Linked DNA regions of Cricetulus griseus. The protein of the gene in region 1 purifies or fractionates together with the protein of each later gene. This does not show direct contact. Links are inferred from orthologs where the notes say so. Each region holds a gene or a part of one and is shown in the gene's direction. Other genes may lie near its edges. The genes, in order: Phf5a and Snrpa1.

Evidence for each region.
Region 2: the proteins of Phf5a (region 1) and Snrpa1 purify together in Homo sapiens (affinity purification with mass spectrometry; 4 studies listed by BioGRID and IntAct, with this or other methods). This does not show direct contact. The link is inferred for Cricetulus griseus from reciprocal best matches to the Homo sapiens genes PHF5A and SNRPA1.

What each region holds. Positions count from the first base shown.
Region 1 is NC_048595.1:379,003,758-379,015,816, reverse strand, and holds the start of Phf5a (PHD finger-like domain-containing protein 5A), read left to right. Parts: upstream 1-6,599; 5' UTR 6,600-6,689; coding exon 6,690-6,741; intron 6,742-7,315; coding exon 7,316-7,339; intron 7,340-7,865; coding exon 7,866-8,032; intron 8,033-11,482; coding exon 11,483-11,572; 3' UTR 11,573-12,059. Other genes in the region: Aco2 (aconitate hydratase, mitochondrial), read right to left, coding at 5,920-5,955.
Region 2 is NC_048596.1:131,199,978-131,210,896, reverse strand, and holds the end of Snrpa1 (U2 small nuclear ribonucleoprotein A'), read left to right. Parts: intron 1-2,036; coding exon 2,037-2,083; intron 2,084-2,269; coding exon 2,270-2,372; intron 2,373-3,097; coding exon 3,098-3,177; intron 3,178-3,546; coding exon 3,547-3,622; intron 3,623-4,223; coding exon 4,224-4,317; intron 4,318-6,395; coding exon 6,396-6,454; 3' UTR 6,455-6,668; downstream 6,669-10,919. UniProt on the Homo sapiens protein: Involved in pre-mRNA splicing as component of the spliceosome. Associated with sn-RNP U2, where it contributes to the binding of stem loop IV of U2 snRNA.

The sequences.
Region 1 (12,059 bases):
ATCAACTGCCTTGTCTCACCCTCAACACCCCAGCTCAAACCTCTATCCGATACTCTGTACATGTTGCTGCTTCTACCTGATAGCTCTTCTCCCAAAACACTGAATTACTATCTTATTATCACCTAAACTTCAGTTCAAAGGTCACCTCCTCTGCAGTCATTCCAAACCTCCCAAAGTTGAATTTCCGACACATTTCCACCCCCTACTTACTCTACCTCTATTCTATTTCCTCTTCATTCTTCTTCACCTTATCTTTATTTTACTTATGTTTATAACAACTAACCTCTTTTGTTTATTTGTTTTGAAACAGGGTCTCTTTATTATACAGCTCTGGTTGTCCTCACTATGTAGACCAGGATGGCCTCCAACTCAGAGACCAACTTCCCTCTGTCCCACCATGCACAGTGATGGGACTAAAGACATTTACCACCAACTGGCAGAACCAAATTTCTTATTTGTCTACTTGGTCATTTTCCAATTCCCCACCTCCCTCAGTCTAAAGAGCAGCTGAGGCGACAAGCATGTGCCACGGGACCTGGCTTAGCATCCCTAACTTTGTTTACTTCCCACTCCCAGAGCCTAGTGTTAGGCAGCAAGCTTGTAAGAAACATCTTAGAAGCAGTTGGCTCAGACAGCAATGCTATGCTAGTCCTCTACATAGTATGCAGGATACCTAAATCTGAGACCTAAAGTTGGTCCACTAACTCTTCACAGACTTTTTCAATTTAAAACAACATTTGGTCCCAGGAAGGCTTCACAGTGAAAAATATTACCAGAATAACCTGTTTAAAATTCAAAGGCAGAGATTTTTTTATTTTTAAACATGAACTTTTAGAAGAGACTTCTGCACAGATGATGACTTCTTTGTAGTTAACTATTCTAGAACTATATGCAAGAAGCTGCATGATTTCCCAAGGTCACACAAGAACCCAAACCCCAGTACATCATGGAACAGTCAAACATCTGAAAAATATATCTGAAGCACAATCCTTTTATTTATCATCAATAGTCAAATGCATTAAAAAATTAAAACCAAAACATTAAAACAGTAAGTATGGCTCTAAAAAAAAAAAAACAAACAAAAACAAAACTCACCCTCTATTTTCTTTCTTTTACTTAACTAATTTATTTTTATTTTATGTATATTGCTATTTTGCCTGCATGTATGTCTACGTGAAAGTGTCCAATCCTGGAGTTATAGGCAGTTGTGAGCTGTTATGTGGGGGATGGGAATTGAAGCTGGGTCCTCTGGAAAAGCAGTCCATGCTCTCAACCACTGAGCCATCTCTCCAGCCTATCACCCTCTATTTTCTTCATTCTTTTTTTTTTTTTTCTTTCTACCTGGTAGCAAGTACTACAAAAACAATAGAATGTGTTTAATTTCGCACTGGTCTTAGGTTATAGAGCCATGGTGTTCTGATGCAAGGCAAAGTTTCACTGCCAAAGGGAAGCAGTACACTGCCAGTTGCTGCCCTCAGGTTTTGGAATCAGGAATTTGCAGATCCAAATCACATTATATATACCAAAAAGTAGTGATAAATTAAGCATTTATCGATGGGGTGGGATGGGCATGGTGGCACACACCTCTAATCCCAGCACTTGGTACGCAGAGGCAGGAGGATCTCTGTGAATTTGAGGCCAGCCTGGTCTACATAGTTCAAAGACAACCTTAAAGCTACAGAGAAACCCTGTCTCGAATCCCCCAAAATAAAATAAAATAAAATAAAAAGGTAAGCATTTAATTATTTTAATGAGTATACAGAACTCTGACTGGTGTCAGATAGGGGTTTGAACACTTTACAACTGTTACTTGATTAAAATAGATATATTATGGTATTTAAAAGATGAGGATGCCAGGTGGTGGTGGTGCATGCCTTTAATCCTAGCACTCAGGAGGCAGAGGCAGGAGGATCTCTGAGTGTTCGAGACCAGCCTGGTCTAATGGTCTAAAAGAATGAGTTCCAGATAGGCTCCAAAGATAGACAGAGAAACCATGTCTCAAAAGAACAAAATAAATAAATAAATAAAAGATGAGGAAACAGGTACAGAGAGATGGAGTAGCTTGCTGAATATCAGTTACTTAGCAATAAGCCAGGATTTAAACCGAAACATTTTGATGCATGAATACATGATATTAGCCTTTATGGTGTATTTCCTTTCTGTTTCTTCACCTGAAACACTACCGTTCACTGGTCTGCCTTATCCCAGAGTCACAAGCAATTACTTAGTAAGGTAAATGCTAGCATTAATGGCAGGAGTGATACTAACCAATTCTGTAACCTTCCTTCATGTTTGGTCCAGCCAAAAGAAGATGCATAAATATTCAGGCTGAGAAAAATCTAAGGGTACATTAGAATATGGTAAACATTCCACAAGAACAGGAACTGGAGACTAGCAAGGTGACTCAATGGTTAAGATTGCTCTTTCAGAAGACCCAGGTTTGGCTTCCAGCACCCACAAAATGGCTCACAACCATCTCTAACTCCAGTTCAAGAGGGATCTGATTCTCTCTTCTGGGTTCTGTGAACACTGCACATATGTACATGGTACATATACATACACGCAGACAAAACAACCATACACATTAACATAAAATAATAAAACTTTAAATGCACTGGGAAGCCGGGCGGTGGTGTCGGAACACCTTTAGTCCCAGCACTTGGGAGGCAGAGGCAGGCGGATCTCTGTGAGTTCAAGACCAGCCTGGTCTACAAGAGCTAGTTCCAGAACAGCCTCCAAAGCCACAGAGAAACCCTGTGTTGAAAAAACAAAAAAGACAAACTAACAAAAAAATGCACTTGGAAAAAAACAAAAACAAAAAAACTGGGGCTGTCTTTTTACCAATTTTTCTGGCCATGGTGGCATGTGCCTGTACTCCAAGCACACAGGAGGCTAAGGCAGGAGAATTGAAAGTTCAAGGCCAGCAACAGAACACAGTAAGAACCAGTCTCAAAAACAGGACCAAAACAAGACAAGAAGAAAAACATGCTAGAGATTGACCAGACATAGCTACCAAAGTATTAACCATCACTTCTCAAATGCATGCAAGCATAGTTGAAAGATGTTCTCAGAGTACAGAGTCACGAGGAATTAGAGACAGTCTGGCTATCTGAGTGCAGTAGTATATTGCAAAGACCTTACTACTACTCATTCACCTTAGCTGAATGAATATGAGAGGGACTTTTATTTTAATCCTACCTCCAGCAGTCAACCCTGCCCTCAAGGTCTTAGATTCGTCACCAAGTGTAAAAGAGGTTGAAGTACATCATTGTGAACACATTCTAATTCCTCATAATTAAGTGCTCAATAAACATTTGTTTAATGAAGACCAATCCCAGCTGATAGACAAAGAACATAGTGTTGTGCCAGGTTCTCGGAGCCCAGAGACTAACCCAAGGAGTTGGCACTATGATGCAAAGTAAAAGGTTTCTTTTTATTTCAAGCTGGCCAGCTAGGATCTCACTGCATGGCAGGCAAATGAGATCCCAACCAGCTAAAAAGAGAAGCTTTTAAAGGGGCAGACCATAAGGTTGAAGGCCACAAATTACAGAGTTTCCAGGGTTACTTAAGGTCATACAAAGTACAGAGTTAGTCAGTAACTATACATTTTAAGGGAGATACATTTGAGTGAATAAGACAGGGCATGGGCTTGCAGGGTTACAGAGTCACAGGGTCTGTCAGTTATCCCCTGGGCTGGGGGATTTTTATGACCAGCAATTAGCAAAGGAATGTTAACAGGAATGGTGAATAGTTACCTCTCCTTTTCTGAGAGCTGGGAATCAGGTGCCAGTCATGGCACTCTTGATTTAAGGAGTTAAATTTTCCTTTATCATCAGATGTTCCCTTTTCAGGACCTAAGTTTTTAAATTTTTATTAATTTGAATTTTTGGTCCCTCAATAGAAAGTTACATTTACAAGGTCATGGGATCAGGGCAGGACCTGAACTATACCCCAGATATCTTTCTACACTCATACTTTCCAAATGTGACATTATACTTTTCTTCCAAAGTCAAAAGTCATTTATTCTATTTAATGATCTTTTTCTGGCTCCACTAAATCAAAGGTCAACAGGGTCGGGACAAAACTCTCCATATTATCTAAAGAATCAAAAGAACCGCAGAGATAATTTAGCTATAAATCCTTTGCCTAAGTCAAAATTCAAATGATTTGTTCAGATAAATGAAGAGTTTTATTTTACACTTTTTTTTGTTTGTTTTTGTTTTTCGAGACAGGGTTTCTCTGTGGCTTTGGAGGCTGTCCTGGAACTAGCTCTTGTAGACCAGGCTGGCCTCTAACTCACAGAAATCTTCTGCCTCTGCCTCCCGAGTGCTGGGATCAAAGGCGTGCACAACCACCACTCAGCTATATTACACTTTGATTTTAAGTAATGTGACAAAAAATAACATTGAATGATAATGCTTCCTGAGAATACAGCACATAACTTTTTGTTTGTTTGGTTTTTCTTTTTTTGAGACAGGGTTTCTCTGTAACTTTGGAGTCTGTCCTGGAATTCACTCTGTAAACCAGGTTGGTCTCGAACTCACAGAGATCTGCCTGCCTCTACCTCCCAAGTACTGGGATCAAAGGCCTGCGCCACAAAACTTTCTAAAATTAATTCTACATTAAAAGTTGTGCCACTTGGTCCAAAGAAGATTCACAAAAGTAATCAATGATAAAAGGTTACCAGAAAATGTCTACAGGTACTTTATTGCTTTATTTTTATTGACAAAATACATACTTTACAGTAAACTTAATATTATACCTTCCCGCCGGTCATTGGTGGTGCATGCCTTTGATCCCAGCACTTAGGAGGCAGAGGCAGGCGGATCTCTGTGAGTTCAAAGCCAGGCTCCAAAGCTACACAGAGAAACCCTGTCTCAGAAAACCAAAAAAAAAAAAAAAAAAAAAAATACACACACACACACACACACACACACACACACACACACACACAGTTGTCAAGTTGGGAGTGAAAAGCCCTCTGTCAGTCACACTTAACTTTCTAGATGTCTCGTAACAGTAGAGTCAAGGTCAAACTGTTGGGTCTTCTCATCTTTCCACCTAGTATCTGAAAAGCAACTGTGAATTTGAAATACTTTGTACTCTGACAACTACAAACGACCACACCCTGGTTCAGACAGTTCTGACATTAGGTTGCCATGAACAAGGAGAACAGAGGGTCAGCAGGGTCACTGCTCAAGCTATAGCACTATCGTGACACCGTGAAAGTCAGAACTTTCATCTACTTTTTTGCAGTTTTACTATCTATTGAGTTGGAAAAAAATCATCTGACATCTATGTTGCCAGAAATATGTAAATCAGGTTATATTAGTGAACAGTCTTGACATCTGGTGCAGAGAGGAACCACTGTTATCATGACTATGGACTATACTGGTGCTCAGAATACTCTACCCTTCTTGCATCTATGACCCCAGGTGTCCTCAAAAGGTAGTATTGGGTATAGCTTCTGCAGACTCCAGGCCCGAGAACCACACATACAAACGGCTGGCAAATCTCTGCTGTTAATGGGAAGTGAGGGCTTCAAGCACCTGGCTTAGAGGAACCCACAACCACCGCGCCCCCCAGTAACCTTGTCATCACCTTGAGAACAGAAAACCACACTGGGGGGAGCGGGCAATTCGGCCCTCAGGAAATGAGGGGTGCCCTCATCCTTTATCACACTGCGGATGCTTAGACTCAAGCTTCCCGCTGGGCGGGGACGGGGACTGGGCCTGGGAACTGACTGTGCCAGGGACACCTTGACCTAGGACAAGGCAGGAGCGGACAAGGACGCTGGGCCTGCAACCGGGACAGGTTCGCAAAAGTCAGCCCCAGGTTGAGCCCGCCTCGCGTGGCCTCGCCTACCGCCGCAGGCAGAGCTCCCCGCCCCCGTGAACCCACACATCGGAGCTCGCTCACCTGCAGCCGGGTCACCAGGAGGCTGTAAGGCGCCATTTTGTGCACTGACAAAGATGAGGTCGCGTGAAAGTGACGTGCCACAGGGCGCTTTTGAAGTGCTTGGGAAGGGGCGTGGCCTCCAAAGCGGCGCGTCACGGTGAGGGTGGGGCCTTCCTCCTCGGAGCCGGAGTCCAGAGAGCGCAGTGGGCGGGGCTTCCATGACGGGCACAGCGCGAGAAAGAAACTGCCAGCTTGTCAGTCTTTGCACTTGGGGACGGAGACGGCAGCGGAGCCAGGAGTTCAAGGTCATCCTTCACGCCTTGAGACTCAAAAGGGAACCCCCAGACCACATATTTTGCGGAAGCATGCGTGAGGCCCTGGCCTCAGCCCCGAGCACAAAAAGTACCATGTGTACAAAAGTTTTTTGCGAGACAGGTCTGGCTGGCCTCGAACTCAGAGATCCGCCTCCCGAGTGCTGGGACTAAAGGCGTGTGCTACCACCAACCAGCCATATGTAGGAATTTTATCCAAGACAAAAACACTTAGTTTATTCGTTCAAATCGGGAGGGAACAAAAACTTTATTATAAAGTCTTTGATGCACCTGCTAGGGGTCCAGCAAGTTCACGCTGAGAAAACTCGCGAGAACTAGCGAGATTTGGTGCAACGAAGGGCAAAAGCTGATGGGCACCTTGACGGCCAATCACGATGGAGAAGTGGGTGTAGGAACGGCGTAGGTTAAAGGTCGAGCGGAAGTTCTCTAAGCTTCCGGCCGCCGGCTTGGGGACGAGTGATGGCTAAACACCATCCAGATTTGATTTTCTGCCGCAAGCAGGCTGGTGTTGGTGAGTTGGCTCGCCGCTCCCTTCCGTTGGAGTGGGATGGTGTTAGAAACGGGAGAGTGGGGGGTTCGCTTCCTCTTTAGGGCCTGGCCTTGGGGGCTCCACGTTTCGCGCCTTGCGGTCCCTGGGTATTCTGGGGGTGCGCCCAGGTTTGTGACTTGTGATAAGAAGGCAGGATCGCGCGTCTGGGAGCCTGAAACTGGGGGCAGCGTCTGCGCTAGGTCTGGAGAAGCCGTCCCAGGTTGCTTTGAGGATTCCGGACAGGGCGCTGGTGCAAAGCAAAACTTAGGGGCTTAGGCCGGGCGTGGTAGTTCACGACTGTAATCCCAGCGCCTGGGAGGCTGAAGGCAGAAGATTGCTGGGGGTTCGAGGCCGACCTGAACTACATAAGAAGTTCCAGGCTATAAAACGGGAATCTGTTGGGAGGAGGGGCGTGGAGAGGGGAAAAAAAAGGATAATAAGACAGCTATTCTGCTCACTGTAGTCATTGCTACCTGCCCCATCCTCTATCCCAGCTTTGAGGAACAACTTCCTTGCTAAATCACCATTTTGATTTTAACTGTGTTTTTTCTTGCAGCTATCGGAAGACTGTGTGAAAAATGTGAGTGGAACATACCCTCTCACACATTGCCTTCTTTCTTTGTTTTTTGACGAGCCAACAAGCCATTTATTCCAGAGGAGCCCTAAAGAAGCATTGAGTGGATATGCCAGACTGCAAAGAACACTGAATCTCTGACTACAACCAAAGGCTCCCCACCAGACTCCCACTTTAGCTTGCATACTTTAATATTTCATACTTAGGTTGTGGGGGAAAAATACTTTTGGACAGTAAGAACTATCAGAGTAGTGTGAACCTTCCCAGGCCAATGTTTGTGCAAGAAGGCATGCAATTTGTTGATGATAACTACATAGACTTAAAAGCTCCTAGCTAACACGTCAAAACTCTTCCCATTTATATTTTGAAGGAAACTGAGGTAGATGGTAGATATAAGATAGGGTGGATGCTGTCAAGATAGAGAAAAGGCCTGAAGTCACAGTCAAAGGGAGACTGGTTATTTCACCCATAGAATAAAGATCTTTAGGAAGTAATCACTAGTGAATATAACTCCATTCCTCTTCCTTTGCAGGTGATGGCAAATGTGTGATTTGTGACTCCTATGTGCGACCCTGCACCCTGGTTCGCATATGTGATGAGTGTAACTATGGATCTTACCAGGGCCGGTGTGTGATCTGTGGAGGCCCCGGAGTCTCCGATGCCTACTATTGTAAAGAATGCACCATTCAGGAGAAGGATGTGAGTGTAGACTTGAGCATTCCCTCCTGGCCTTTCTTCCTTTTTCTTTGGACCATTTTGCCATCCATGTCCATCTCTTCTGGTCTATGGAGACTGCAATGTTCAGCTAGTCATGTAGGTAGAGGTTATTATCATCCTCCTTTTATACTCTGTCCCAGGCTATCTGACTAAATCTGGTGTCCACATTACATCATGTTATGCTTCTCTAAGACCTTCTTGGTGTGTGCTCATGATGAAGAGAGCACCCAGCCTCCTCAGCACTCCACATGTGGATGCTACCTACCACCAGTACCCGAAGCCAGATAGGGCTTTAAGGAGGGAGGGGGGTTGTTCTACGTGGTGCGGAAGGTGATCTATGATAGCTGCATTTTCAGTTTTGATTGACTTTATCATCAAATCTCAAATCGGGTCTTACCACATCCAGCAGATATTGATTGGGGAAGCCACATTTAGGCATTAGCTAGAGTTCCCAACTGAGAGCTTTTTCTCCATGGATGAGCTCCAGGCTTTTCTTACTGCCTGCATGCAGTTTATGCCACAGGACATACAAATGATTCCTGTTGGGTATATCCTCACTGTTCTCAGTGCTGCAGAGTTTGGTTGTGTTTGGTTTGGTTGAATTTCTTTGTTACATCTATTTGTGTGGGTGCATGTGGTATTAAGAGGACAGCTTGCCTGGAGTTGGTCCCACACACACACACACACACTAGTGAGTATTTTGGCCCACTAATACTTTTATGTGCTTACTGTTTTTCCCTGTCCTTCTTAGAGAACCAGATTGGTGCTTGGCCCAGAATGGAGTTTTAGAGCAGCTGAAAAGTATTGTTTACTCTGTTGAATCCACTATTGTTTGGGAAAAGGGGAATGTTGTTGATTAAGTATGAAATCATAATTTCAGTTGGTGGTTTGAACATTCTCCTGCCCTAAATGCTCTTTCCAATTCTTTAGACAACCAGAACTCGATTGTATTCTGTCTTCCACAGCTGTGGATTATGTCCTCCATCTTTCCTTTTTCTCGGGTCTTGGTAATAGTGCCTAATCTGTAATACAAGGATGGTGCTCTCTTTTTGGTACTGTGCCTATAAAGTGTTCCTGGGAGACACTCCCCACCCTGGGCATTTGTTATTTAGGAACTGGGAAGTACTGGGTGTAATGGAAAGAGGAGGGACACACAGTTCTCAAGCTAAAGGGTCCCTGAAGAGACAACACTTTCTTGAGCTTTCAGAAATGTCTAGAGTCTGTTTCTGACTTAAGCTTGGAACCAGAGGATGCTTGCTAAACAGTAATTGCCATCTCACTTGTCTGCATGCGCCCTGTGATCTGATACCTTTGGATCCCTGCCCCTCATTCTGCTCCCTGAGAATTATTTTGGACATCACTTCACCTACTTGCCATTATACAGGAACGTTCTGAGGACACCTGAGCTCAAGCTCACAATTACTCAGCACTAGTTTCCAAGGGACACAAAGCAGTCCTGTGACGTGATCCAGCCTCTCACCCTTACAGACAGAGGATCATGTAGATGGGGTGCCCAGGCATTTTCCTGTGCAGAAATCTTCCTGCAGCAAAAGCCACCCCCCCCCATTGTTCTCCTCTTCCTGTAGCTTTTATTATTTATAAGGCAGTTAATTAGGCCAGTAAGCTGAGCTGGGTATCCTCATTTGTACTTTTTCAAAACCTCAAAAATAATCAAGAATCAGGAGTTAGGCATGGTGGGGCATATCTGTAATGCCAGCACTTGGTATGCTGAGGGAGGAGAATTGCCAGTCTGGGGCCAGGCAGTGGTAGTGCACACCTTTAATTCCTGTGCTTGGGAGGCAGAGGGATTCGGGTCTCTTTGAGTTTGAGTCCAGCCTGGTCTATGCAGAGTTCCAGGATGGCCAGGGCTACACGGAGAAACCTGACTTGGAAAAACGAAAAATAAAAATAAAACCAGTCTGGGATACACTATCTTACAAATCATTGAGTCTACCAGGTCTCACCAATATCTTTAAATCTTGGTTCTGGAGGACTAATTTGTATATTGTTATGATATGACAGCAAGCAAATCTCCCAGATCCCAAACAGAATAAGAAAAATTACATTTATGGAGTTTAAAATGTATTTTTATGCCGGGCTGTGGTGGCACACACCTTTAATCCCAGCACGAGGGAGCAGAGGCAGGTGGATCTCTGTGAGTTTGAGACCAGCCTGGTCTACAAGAGCTAGTTCCAGGACAGCCTCCAAAGCCACAGAGAAACCCTGCCTCAAAAAACCAATAAATAAATAAAATGTACTTTTATTTATTTTTGCAGTACAGGGGTTGAACAACCCAGTCCAGATTCCCTGTAATAGCGGCCAGTCCACTGAGCCATCTCTTTCGAACCCACAGTTTTCTAATGAGAAATTAAATACTAAGGAATACGATAATGTTGGCTAGGAGTGTACTGTAAGTTGCAGATCGTTCTAATGTTGGAGATAGAAGACAGTATGAATTGTCCTGATGGGAGATGCTTGGTCTAGTCCATGCATTTCCTCTAACCATTTCACTGTCATTTCTCAGGCTGAGAAACATTTCTTTGATTTGTTGTCTTGCCATTTCTACCATTCTCATTTAGTTTATCTTATTTAGGATAACTGGAAAGGTGAATAGAACATTAACCCAAAAGCTATAAAATGGTCTTTGAGGGGCTGGCAGGCCTGCCCAGTAAGTACAGGCCTTTATTGCCAACCTGACAACCAGGCCTCAGAACTCCGAACCTCCAGTCTCTGTGCTCACACCATAGTATGCATACATATATGCATACTAAATCAATTTTAAATTGTTTTCTTTTTTTTTAATTAAAAAATGGTTCTGAAAACTCATAAAAAGCTGGGCTATGATGGTGCAGGCCTTTGATCCCAGCACTCAGAAGGCAGAGGCTGGTGGATCTCCGTGAGTTCGAGGCCAGTCTGGTCTACACAGCTAGTTCCAGGACAGCCTCCAAAGCAATACAGAGAAACCCTGTCTCGAGAAACAAAACAAAAAAAAGTACAGAAGACACTGAGTGATCTTGGGTACCTCCCCCAGTTAAGTAAATGGAGGTGTTTTATAGGGCAAAACCACACTGATTATATGGTGGTGGTGGTGGTAGTTTTGGTTTTGGTTTTGGTTTTGGTTTTTTTCAAGACAGGTTTCCCTGTGTCGATATCCTGGAACTCACTCTATAGACCAGGCTGGCCTCAAACTCAGAGATCTACCTGCTTCTCCCTCTTCCTGCTGGGATTAAAGTGTGTGTTGCCACCACCCCTTGGTTGGGATCTTTTAAAATTTCTTTTTTGTTGTGAGATGTTGAGGATTAGACACAAGCCCAGTCTATAAGCTGTAAGCTCTCAGGTGACAAGTAATGCTTTTCATGCTCCTGAGCTAAATTTTATCTTAAATCTCTAAAGGCAATTTCAAGGACTTAACAACTTGGTTCTGTTTTTCAGAGAGACGGTTGCCCAAAGATTGTCAATTTGGGGAGCTCTAAGACAGACCTGTTCTATGAACGCAAAAAATATGGCTTCAAGAAGAGGTGATGGGTGAGCAGCTCCTTCTCCCCCATCAAGCTGCTGCAGCTGCCAGAAAAGACACCTACTACCACCAGCAGAAAGGGACCGAAGCCCAGCGTGTCACCAGAATAGCCTGCTAGAGCTACTGTCTTGGCCCCCTGCCCCTGTCTTTCCCTCACCATTCTGGTGGGGATGGAAGAGAGGTCTTCACAGAGTACTCTAGCAGACTGGAAGAAAAATTGCTAGCTTAATTCATAGTTTGTTTGTTCTAGTTGGAAAAACGAGGCTCTGCCCTCTAGATTGATAGATTCTCTCCACACCAAAAGCTTTGAAATGAGTCTTCCGTCTGCGGCCTTGACAATGAAGCTGCCGCAGGCAAAAGCATGGCCTTCAGCAGCTATGATGGTGGTGGTCTTCTGTGACCCTCAGTGTGGCCAGGAGCCATCAGAACAGTAATGTGATGTGACACTTCCCAGGTGGTGCTAGCTTCATGTTATTTTCCTTCTTAGAAATT
Region 2 (10,919 bases), on another chromosome or scaffold:
TATCATAACATTTGTGCCACCACTGCACCCATGGGTCACTGCCACAAGGTCGTTACTGAGCTGACAGTATTTACACCTGGGCGTGACGACGGTTGATGACATCTTTCCTCAGCAGCCTGCATAGAACTTCTGGAACTTTGAAAACTAGCTGGCTAGTAGGAAGCTTCCTGGTCAGTACCAACTTGATTTCTCATGTCCTGTGATGAAAATGTTCTGCCTTCACCAATAGGGTTTTACCATCAAGTTTGTGGTAGGCAGCCTACATCAGCTATTAGCCTATATTGTATTTTGAGACAGTCCCTTAACATGTCACCCAGGCTGACTGGTAACTCCATATGTAGCCTAGACTGGCCTTGAATCACTACAGTCTTCTTGCCTTAGCATCCCCAATGCAGGGATAACAGACATGAGCCACTACACCCAGCTTTAAAGCCAATGCTCTGTCAGCATACAGCTGGGGTGTAGAAGGTCCCAGCAGGGGCTCTTTCTGGAGTTAGTACCTTGGTGATACATTGTGGAATCAAATATTGAATCTAGAACCTTGTGGATGCCAGTTTAGCCCCCTACTATTCAACTACAGGCCTAGCTATTCTTTTTCTTAAACCAATCTGTTGTGTTATGTTTTTGCTCTTTTACTCTTTTTGAGGGGCCCAGTACCCAAATAAATATGCGGAGGCTTATTAGTTATGAATGCCCAGCCTTAGCTTGGCTTGTTTCTAACCAGGTTTTCTTATCTTAAATTGTCTCCCTTTTCCTTTAGCGCTTTTATCTTTCTTACTTCTGTATGTCTTTCTTTCTTTCTTACTCCGTGACTGGCTAGGTGGCTGGTCCCTGACATCCTCCTATCGTTGTTCTCTTGCTCCTCCCTCTCCCTTCTTTGTTTCTCCTTCTATTTATACTCTGTCTGCCAGCCCCACCTATCCTTGCCCCTGCCTTGCTATTGGCCTTTCAGCACTTTATTAGCCTATCAGGTGTTTTAGATAGGCAAAGAACAACAGCTTCACCAAGTTAAACAAATGCAGCATAAACAAAAGACATACCTTAAAATAGTATTTTTCCACACCAGTCAGCATGCTGTCATTGTGTTCTGTACTATGGATGTATAACACACTTTTTTATTCCTTTTGGATCCTTTTTTTAAAGAGTTTTATTTATTATGCATATTTATTATGTTCTGTCTTCATGTGTGCATCTGTGCCAGAGAGGGCACCAGATCTCATTATAGATGGTTGTGAGCCACCATGTGGTTGCTGGGAATTGAACTCAAGACCTCTGGAAGAGCAGCCAGTGTTCTTAACCTCTGAGCCATCTCTTCAACCTCCTTTTGGATTTTCTTTGTGGTAGTAAGCCACTTTTCAAGCTCTAGTTCTCCCTCTGTTCTCTGTTGTTACAATTTTTTGAACTATATTATTCACCTTGACTTTGAAAATATTTGAAGGGGTGGGGGTGGACTAAGATAACAGTGCTCCCTCTCAAAGATAATGTTTCCCGGGGCCATTTGGGATATACTAACAAGAAAGGACATTTTGCACCAGGTTTGGCGGCATATACCCATAATATCAACATTTGGGAGGATCGGGATTGAAGATCATCCTAGGCTGCATAGCAAGTTCAGGGCCAGCCTAAGCTATAGGAAATTCTGTCTCAAACAACAAGAAACCCACATATAGACCAAGGTCTTGGCTTGAGGTTCCTGTGTAAATAGCTTGATACAAGTAAGTTACCGATGTTGGCATTAATTTCCTTTTAAATCATTGCTTAGTAGTAGCCATTTTGAGGTTGTTATGGGAAATCAATTTTTTTTTCTTCTATTGAAACAGGTGCTGTTACTGCCAATACTTAACATATTCAGCAGTTTTATTAGGTGGAAGATATTTAGGCAGTTGTGTTGTATTAGTATTGGACTAGGTGCCAGGGCAGAAAAAAAATAAGTAAATGATAGTGTGGATACTGTTTCAAAGATACTTGTTATTTCAGAATATCAGAATAGTAGTGTGTGTATCAGCTTTGTTTTTACTCTGACCCTTATTTTATAGGGTGATCTGGATCCTTTGGCATCTCTCAAATCACTAACATATCTAAGGTATGGAAATCCGCTTGTTGTGATAACTCGACTAATGAAGTTCTGAAGTAACAGCATCAGGCTGCTACTAAACAGTAAAGTAGGAAGAATGGTGTGCTTTCTCTTGGTTTATAGTCTTTGCACTTTTCAAATGACCCTCTCAAGTGGAATGCTGTGAGTAAGATTGGCACTGTCCCTTTTCTATAGCATCCTAAGAAATCCTGTAACAAATAAGAAGCATTACCGACTTTATGTGATCTACAAAGTTCCACAAGTCAGAGTTCTGGACTTCCAAAAAGTGAAACTCAAAGTGAGTATTGCATACTGGCTGTGAGTCATTACAGTAGTCCTTTCCCTTAGCCTTTCATGACTGGTCTTTACAAGTTGCTTAATTAGTACATTTTACCATTAATGTGTGGGAAAGAAAGCATTAAGTCACCATTGTTTATTTTTTTTCTTGTGGGTTTTTTTGTTTTGTTTTCATCTCATAGCAGTTTATGGTAGGGTGATGTTGACCATTTCAAAGTTGGCCAAATGTGACCAGGCATTGGTGGCGCACACCTTTAATCCCATCAGGAGGATCTCTGTGAGTTCAAGACCAGCCTGGTCTACAAGAGCTAGTACCAGGACAGTCTCCAAACCTACAGAGAAACCCTGTCTCAAAAAAACAAAAACAAAAAAAAAGTTGCCCTAATGTTAGAACTACACAGTGCATTGTCTACTTAGATGTGTTCCCAACAAGAGCATATATAACCCAGATTTGAGCAGCTCTGCTTTTTAGAATAGCTGTTCCTTTGTTGGAAGTGCTAATTCTCTGTAGTTCCTTGCTAGTCCCTCTTAGAAATTAGGAAGGGGTACTTTTTGAGAGCTTTCCCCGAGAAGGTTGGACCACTGTGTCTCCTAATTTAAAGTTGGCTTTTGTTTTTACCAACCCAGAATACTTCAGGAGAATTCTCTCCCATGTTTTCTAAGGAATGCATCTAAATGCATGTGGTATTCCTTTTTTGATTAACTCTGTGTGTGGTGTCGCTGTAGGAGCGTCAGGAAGCAGAGAAAATGTTCAAGGGCAAACGGGGTGCACAGCTTGCAAAGGATATTGCCAGGAGAAGCAAAACGTAAGATACGGATATCCAACTTAACTCTACTTCACCTTCAGAAACACTATCTGTCTGGCAGTTTGCCTCCTACAAAATTAAACCCAAAACTGGTTAGTGTGGTATTACATTTGAATGATGGTGTACATCTTGGGAAATTTCTACCAGGTTAGCAGAGCATATATTTCGGTTTACCATCTTAATGTGGTGTTCATCCTGCTTTCTCTATTGGAAGATGGATTGGGTGGTGTTTCTGAAGGAGAGAGTGCTTGTATCAGTTTGTTAACAAAGATAAGATACTACACTGGTTGAATTACTTTCAAATCTTTTGAAAGTAAGAGAAGCAGCCTGCACTAGTCAGAGTGTAACAATTATATTCTCCCTCCCAAGTTTTAATCCAGGTGCTGGTTTGCCAACTGACAAAAAGAAAGGTGGGCCATCTGCAGGGGATGTAGAAGCAATCAAGGTAAGGATATGTATGTTTGGGTTATCAGACTGGAGAGAGCAGAGAGGTGGGGCCAGGGCAGTGGTGTGTCCTAGTGCTAAACATCGTAGATCCCATTATCTCATAGTTGTGAGGACTCTGCTATTTCTAGGCCCAGAAAGGCTACCTTAAAGATACTATTTGACCAAATTTTGACTTGAACTAATTGCATGAACTAATTGAAGGCATCTATGTTTATCTCTTTCACCCAGGATACATTTACTTCTTGGAGCAGTTAGTTACTTTGTTGTTCAGTCTTAGTTTCTCTGCTTCCCAAGATTTGCTGGCTGACAAATCCTGTTGAAGTATCTGTAGAAAATCCAAAAGTCTCCAGTAACAGAATTCCAAATAGATACTTAACTTGAATTTTAGGGCCCTTGGAATGATTGGTTCTTCTCCTTTGTAAGAGCCCGAATCCCTTCCTAAATGTTGGCGTGTTTTCTAAGTTGATTTTTCTTGCGCCAGTGAAGTTCTTCTCCCAGACAGTTGTGTGGTTGATTTTCTAGGGGAAAGTTGCTAGGAATTTCTGTAGTGTCTTTTCGGTGGTTGTAATCATCCATCTCCCTTTTCCTGTGCTTTCCAGAATGCTATAGCAAACGCATCAACGCTGGCTGAGGTTGAGAGGCTGAAGGGCTTGCTGCAGTCCGGCCAGATACCTGGCAGAGAGCGCAGATCAGGTCAGAAAACTATTCTGTGTGCACTTCCAAAACATCACACTTGGAATGACTACAGAGGAATACCTGTCTGGCATGATCACACAGGCCTGGAATCCCTATATTTGGGAGGATGAGGCAGGAGGATCAGGAGTTGAAGGTCATACTTGGCTACAAAATAAGGTTGAGACCAGCTTGGGCTACAGGCAACCCTTTTCTCAAAAAAAAAAAAAAAAGAGGAAAGGAAAAATAGGAAGGAAAGAAGTAGGGAGTGGGGGCCAATAAAGTTAGGCCATTGGGATATTTATGAGGTCTTTACAAGTTGTAGCAAAACATTCTACAACATGGAAAGAACAAAGTTCTAGAGATGATTGTGAACTTCTAAGTCACATCCTATATAATGGGCATCTTGGTGAACTGATATTCCATATACAGTCATCCCATAAAGTAACAGCTTAAAAATTGCTCTGCCTGGTGTTTTTACTATATGTTGTCTATGTGTAGATGCACAGCTACTTACCTTTGTTTTACAGTTGTCTACATTGAGAACAGTGACACGTTGTCTAGGTTTATAATGTCTTACCAGATAGGTAGTTTAATAGCTTTTACCGTCTAGTTTGTGTAAGTATGCTCTCATGTTCATCTTCACACACACACACACACAAATGAAGTCTCCAGTGATAAAATTCCTGGAGCAGAGATCCCTGTAAATTAGTGGTAATTTAGTGGTTAATGGAACTGGCTACACTGAGTCTAAGCAGTACTGTCCTTGGGCAAGTTTCTTTGTCTTAGGTGAGTATTTGCATCTTTAATATTAAGATAAGTACTGACATCAAAAGGTTTGGGGGAGGATTGTGATAATTACACTTAGCACAGGGCAAGTTTTGGGTAGGTGTTAACTAGTGTAATGTTTGAATGCCAAGTTTGTCAGCAATTTGAGCATTAGAGGTACATTATTCAAATAAAGTAAATACATAGTACAAATTTTGGTATGAGTATCCCTGGGAATCACTACCACGACAGCTTTTCAAGGATCATTGTCTTTGAGCTGTTTTGTTTGTTAGTTTTGTGGCCCATTTGTTTAGCCATGGTTGCTTTCGTTAACATGGGGCAGGGGTGTTTACTGGAGCAAGGGCAACTTACAGTGACTACACTACTGAAGAAAGTGACTTCCTACCTCAGCAGCTGTTCACTGCCAGTAGCTCCTCAGGAAGAGGATATAAGGTATTTTTAAGATCAGTGCTGTTATGTGGTCCTTGGGCCCCTGGGGACATGCAAGGTAAATTATTTCTGTAATAACTCCCAAGATGCACTGGGAGGCCAAGAGCGGGTTTTATTTTCCAGCAAGGAGGTCCAGTGATGGTACTTGCTGTGTTCTCCAGTAAAATTCATATCAAATCCACTCACTGTCCTTGATGAAGAAATAGAAATGGTTTTCTTTAGAACTAAATTTAAGTGCCTGAGCAATCCCCCGCAGCTGACAGTGTTTATTACCAATGATAAAATTGCAGATTTTAAGCAAAAATTAAGGTTTAGAAAATTTAGGCTGGGGATGTAAGTCTGGTAGAACACTGCCTAACACACATGAGACCATGGCTTCAAGCTTCACCATTACTAGAAAGACAATGTAGGTCCACTGGTAAAATGTTGACATCTTCCTAGTACTTACGAACATTTCCGGGGAAATGAGTATAAGGTGTGTGCTACCACACCTGGCATTTTTGTTTTGTTTCTGTTTTTAAGAATACATTGGCCAAAAAAAAAAAAAAAATAGTTTTGTTTTTTTGAGGCAGGGTTTCTCTATGTAGCCCTGGCTGTCTTGGGACTCACTCTGTAGACCAGGCTGGCCTCAACTCTGCCTCCTGAGTTGTGGGATTGAAGGTGTGCTACTACCACCCAGCAACCAAAAATCTTAAAAAAAAGAAAGAAAGAAAGAAAGAAAGAAAGAAAGAAAGAAAGAAAGAAAAGAAAAGCTACCACAGATTGTGGAACACAGTTAAAAACAGTTGGTGTGTTCGTTCACCTTTTTAAAAAATTAATGTGTATGTGTCTGATGAGTGGACAAAATTGACACGACTTCTGGTTTTGTGGGTTTTTTTCAGGGCCAAGTGATGATGGTGAAGAAGAGCTGGAAGAAGACACAGTCACAAATGGGTCCTGAGCTCTGTGGCAGATGGTCTAATAGGCTGTCTAGGGACAAGTCTTGCTTTTTGAGCATGGAGTAACAGCCTTGCTTGTATCAGCAACATGGAATTTGTCAGCATTGCTGAATGTTCAGAACTACTGCTGGTAATTTTTTTAATATGTACCTTGGAATCTAAATGCCAGTTTTCTACAAATGGTAAAATAAAGGCCACTTTCTTGCTGCCAAATTATCTGTTGTTATGTTAGCTGTGAAGTATAAGGATATATTTAAGATGGACGTTGGCGAGTGTCTTAGTTAGGGTTTCTATTGCTGCAAAGAAACACCACGACCATAAAGCAAGTTGGGGAGAAAAGGGTTTGTCTTACACTTCCATATCACTGTCCATCATTGAAGGAAGTCAGGACAGGAATTCAAACAGGGCAGGAATCTGGAGGCAGGAGCTGATGCAGAGGCCATGGTGCTGTTTACTGGCTTCCCAGGAGGACCAGCAGCCCAGGGATGGCACCACCCATCTTGGGCTGGGCCCTCCCCCATTGATCACTTACTGAGAAAATGCCTTACAGCTGGAACTCATGGCTGTATCCTATCTGATGACTCTAGCTTGTGTCAAGTTGACTCATAAAACTAGCCAGTACAGGGAGGATGGTGTTTCTGAATAAACATTACTTCTGACTATGAAGTGTTACAGATTCTTTATAAAGACAAGGAGGCTTAAGACTAGACAAATAGGTATATCCTTTGACCTTTTTAATTAAACACACAGGAGTATCTAACAAATTTTAAATGATTTGAAAAATCCTAAGTAGGAATTGATGCTACAACATAAGCAAAATAGTCTTCCAGCCTGTGGGGACAGAGGCTTGGGGTTGTGGCTTCTCTGTGGGGCACACTTCTCTTAGCATCTAGCTATCTTAATTATATTCCTCATCTAGGAAAGAGTTTTCTTTTATGGTTAAATATTAGTGCCTTGATTTCCTATTCTGCCTTGTTCCCTTGAGAGCAATGTCTCTCTCTGAGCCTGGAACGAGGCTGTCTGCCAGCCAGTTCCAACAGTCCTTGTCTCCACCCAACAAGGCTTGTGGGCATGCATTTGGACAGACCACTTTTTACCTGGGTGGTGGGGATTTGAACACAAGTACTCAAGCTTGCATAGCAAGCATTCTTGCCCACTGAACTATCTTCCCAGCCCCTGGTTACAGTTTTCCAAGCTCCTTTGGTAATTCTGAATATGACAAGCATATTAAATAGTCTCTAGATGCTTTTCATTGATGACTGATAACTGATCTTGTGAGGCATATACCAGATACCTGAGATACAGTGGAACTGCTCCCAATGGTCTTGCTGGGGTGACTGGCCAAACAGTGGCTTCTGCTGAGCCCCAGACTTAAATTTAGTTTCCTCCCATGTTGGATTGGAGTCTGGTTTGCAGTATCCTCAGTGAGGCTGGCTGTACTGCTCCCATAGTCCTTCTGTTCATGTACCAGCTCCTGTTGCTGCTAAGACAGGTGCTTCCCTCTTTTGGCTGGGTCTGTGGCTTGATGGCAGTCGTGCTAAGACTGCAAGACCCCTAGCACCAAATAAAAAGCCAAATTCCTATTTTCCATAGCTTCATTGAGTCCTTTTTATGGATGAGACTTGGTCAACAGTCCCAGTGATGACAAGCTGGTGTCCTGGGGTACCTTTTTCTTTTTCTTTCTTTTTTTTTCCCCCTCCGGTTTTTTAAGGCATGGTTTCCCTATAGCTTTGGAGCCTGTCCTGTAAAACAGACTAGGCTGACCTCGAACTCATAGAGATCTGCCTATCTCTGCCTCTGAGCGCTGGGAATAAAGGCATGCACCACCAGCAGCCTGGGGTAACTTGTAATTGCAAATTTTTTAATTAAATGTAGCTTAAGTTTGGAACCCAGGCCTGGGCAGCACTTCAGCATTTGAAAATGATGGAGGCTGCTGTGTATCTGGACTGAACAGAACTGTGTTTAGTATTTGAGGTTGTGGGAAGAAAACAAGCAAAACCAGCACACCATTGCATCATGTGCCGTTGTCCTGATCAAGGACTAAGCTGGCTAGAGGCAAGTGAGGCTTCCTCTTCCATATGTGTGTCTCAAGACCCAAATCATTGATGAGGTTCACCTCAATACATGCTATTTTCCCTAGAACCTAACGGTTTTCAGTGAATAGTTTCATAGACCATGAGTTTCATTCAGGCTACTAGTGTCCATGTTACAGCAGAAATGTATAGCAACTGATAGTCATGCCACACCTGCAAGAATGGGTCTGTGGAACTATGTTAAGATACTGATTTGAGATGATGTCTCACGTAGCCCAGGCTGGCTTTCAACTAGCCACAGAGCTGAAACTGGCCTGGAACTCCTAATCCTACCACCACCACCTCCCAGCAGCTAAGACTACAGGTGTGTCACCACACCTGATCTTGAATATTATTTATTCCTCTAGCATTTCTATATAATTGGTAAATGACCTGGTCTTGAGGCTTGACCTAATTGAATTAATGGATATGATTATAAGTCTTGATTAATGATTAACCTGAAGCTTGATCACTGGATCCACATGATAGAACTGATCTCCATAGTGTGTGTGTGTGTGTGTGTGTGTGTGTGTGTGTGTGTGTGTGTGTGTGTGTGGTGTTTTAGAAGACTTGATGCTCTCAAAATGACTTGGGTTTGATTCTCAGCACCAGCACTGCAGTTCACAATCTTCTGGAACAATTCCAGGGATCCAACACCCTCTTCTGGCCTCCATGAGCACTGCAGGTGTATGGTATAGGCATATGCAGGCAAGACACTTCTTTTAAAGAGTGTCCACAGAAAGAGGCTGAGCCTGATTTATGTTTGAACAGAACTGCCATTTTATTGCCTTCTCTGAGCTCTTAAGCTTCTCATACCCTTAGTCCTATGTAGTTGCTTCTTATCTTGTAAAATAGCAAGTTTTGGCAGTATGCCAGCACTACTGCCACATGATCTACAGGTTTGCATATTTGACTCTGCTCTTTATTTTTAATGTTTTTTATTGCCTTATATTAATTGTATATAACAATGGGTTTCGATACATGTATATAATGTATTTTAATCATACACACACACACACCTGTTACCTTCCTTTGTCCTTAGGATTATTTCCCTCTTCCAAGTTAGCCACTTCTTTTTTGTGTGTTGGACTTAGTGAGTTAGAGTTGGTTATGGGAACATAGGCACCTAACCAATAGCTACACCACTGAAGAAAATGTTTCTTACTCCGCCATTAATTAGTGAAGCCCTAGGGGGTCAGGTAGGCCCCTATTAGCATCTCTCCCTCTCAGTGGTAGGATGTTGAGGAGCCCAGTCTTGTGCAGATCTTGCGACATTGTGATCAACTAGAGTAGCTAGCTTTCTATGCCTAATTCTCCTTGGACAACTAGCTAAACTACTCAGAACTGATAACACTTCTGCTTAGTTGCCATTAACCAAAGCAATCTACCTGGCTAAATGCAGTGGATGGGGAAATTTACCTAACCCTAAAGGAATTGACTATAAGAAGTACCAGGACTGAGAAGTTAAAAAGCTAGGTATTTAGTCTACATAACCAGTAGTGGGAGTTGTTACTATCCACCGTTGTGCTATTTTTTCGAGTAACACCTGAGCTATATAAGTGCTGGATTAAGTGGGGTTCTAGACAGCTACCATTTGATGAAAGGGACAAAAGCAACACACCTGAGATGTAAGGGAACTGGAATAAAAGCTTAGAATCAATGCACTCAATTCAAAATGCACACTGTGGTTCCCAAGAGTAACAAAGCTATATTGGGGGGGGGGGTTGTTTGTTTATTTGGCTTTGTGGTTTTTGAGAAGGGCTAACTATATAGCCCTGGCTTGACTGGAACTCATGGAGATCCACCTGCCTCTATTTCCCATGGTTTTGATTTTTGAAGCAGTCTTACATTGCCCAGTGTGGGCTTCCTATGACACCAAAGATGACCTTACTCCTGATTCTTTTACCTCTGCCTCACAAATGCTGGGATTAGAAGCATTTGCCACTATACTCAGTTTGTGCAGTTCAGGGCTTTAAACCCAAGACTTTGTACATGCTAGGCAAGGAAGCACTTAACCAAACTGAGATACATTCCTAATTTGTATATTTTTAATTCATTATCTTTATGAATTGTTGCTAGTTTCTATTTTATATTACAAAATCCCAAGTGGAAAAGATTTCACTATGACAGTTTCATATATGTGTATCATGTACTTTGATCATATCCACCCCACCATCTGTTTGTTTTTTGAGACAGGGTTTCTCCGTATTGCCCTGGTTCTCCTGGAACTCACTCCATAGATCAGGCTGGCTTTGAACTTAGAGATCCACCTGCCTCTGCCTCCGGAGTGCTGAGATTAAAGGCATGCATCACCAATGCCTGGCATTTTGTTGGTGGTGGGTTTTTTTTTTTTTTTTATTTTTTTCTACCTCCCCTAATGAAACTAAATGTTACT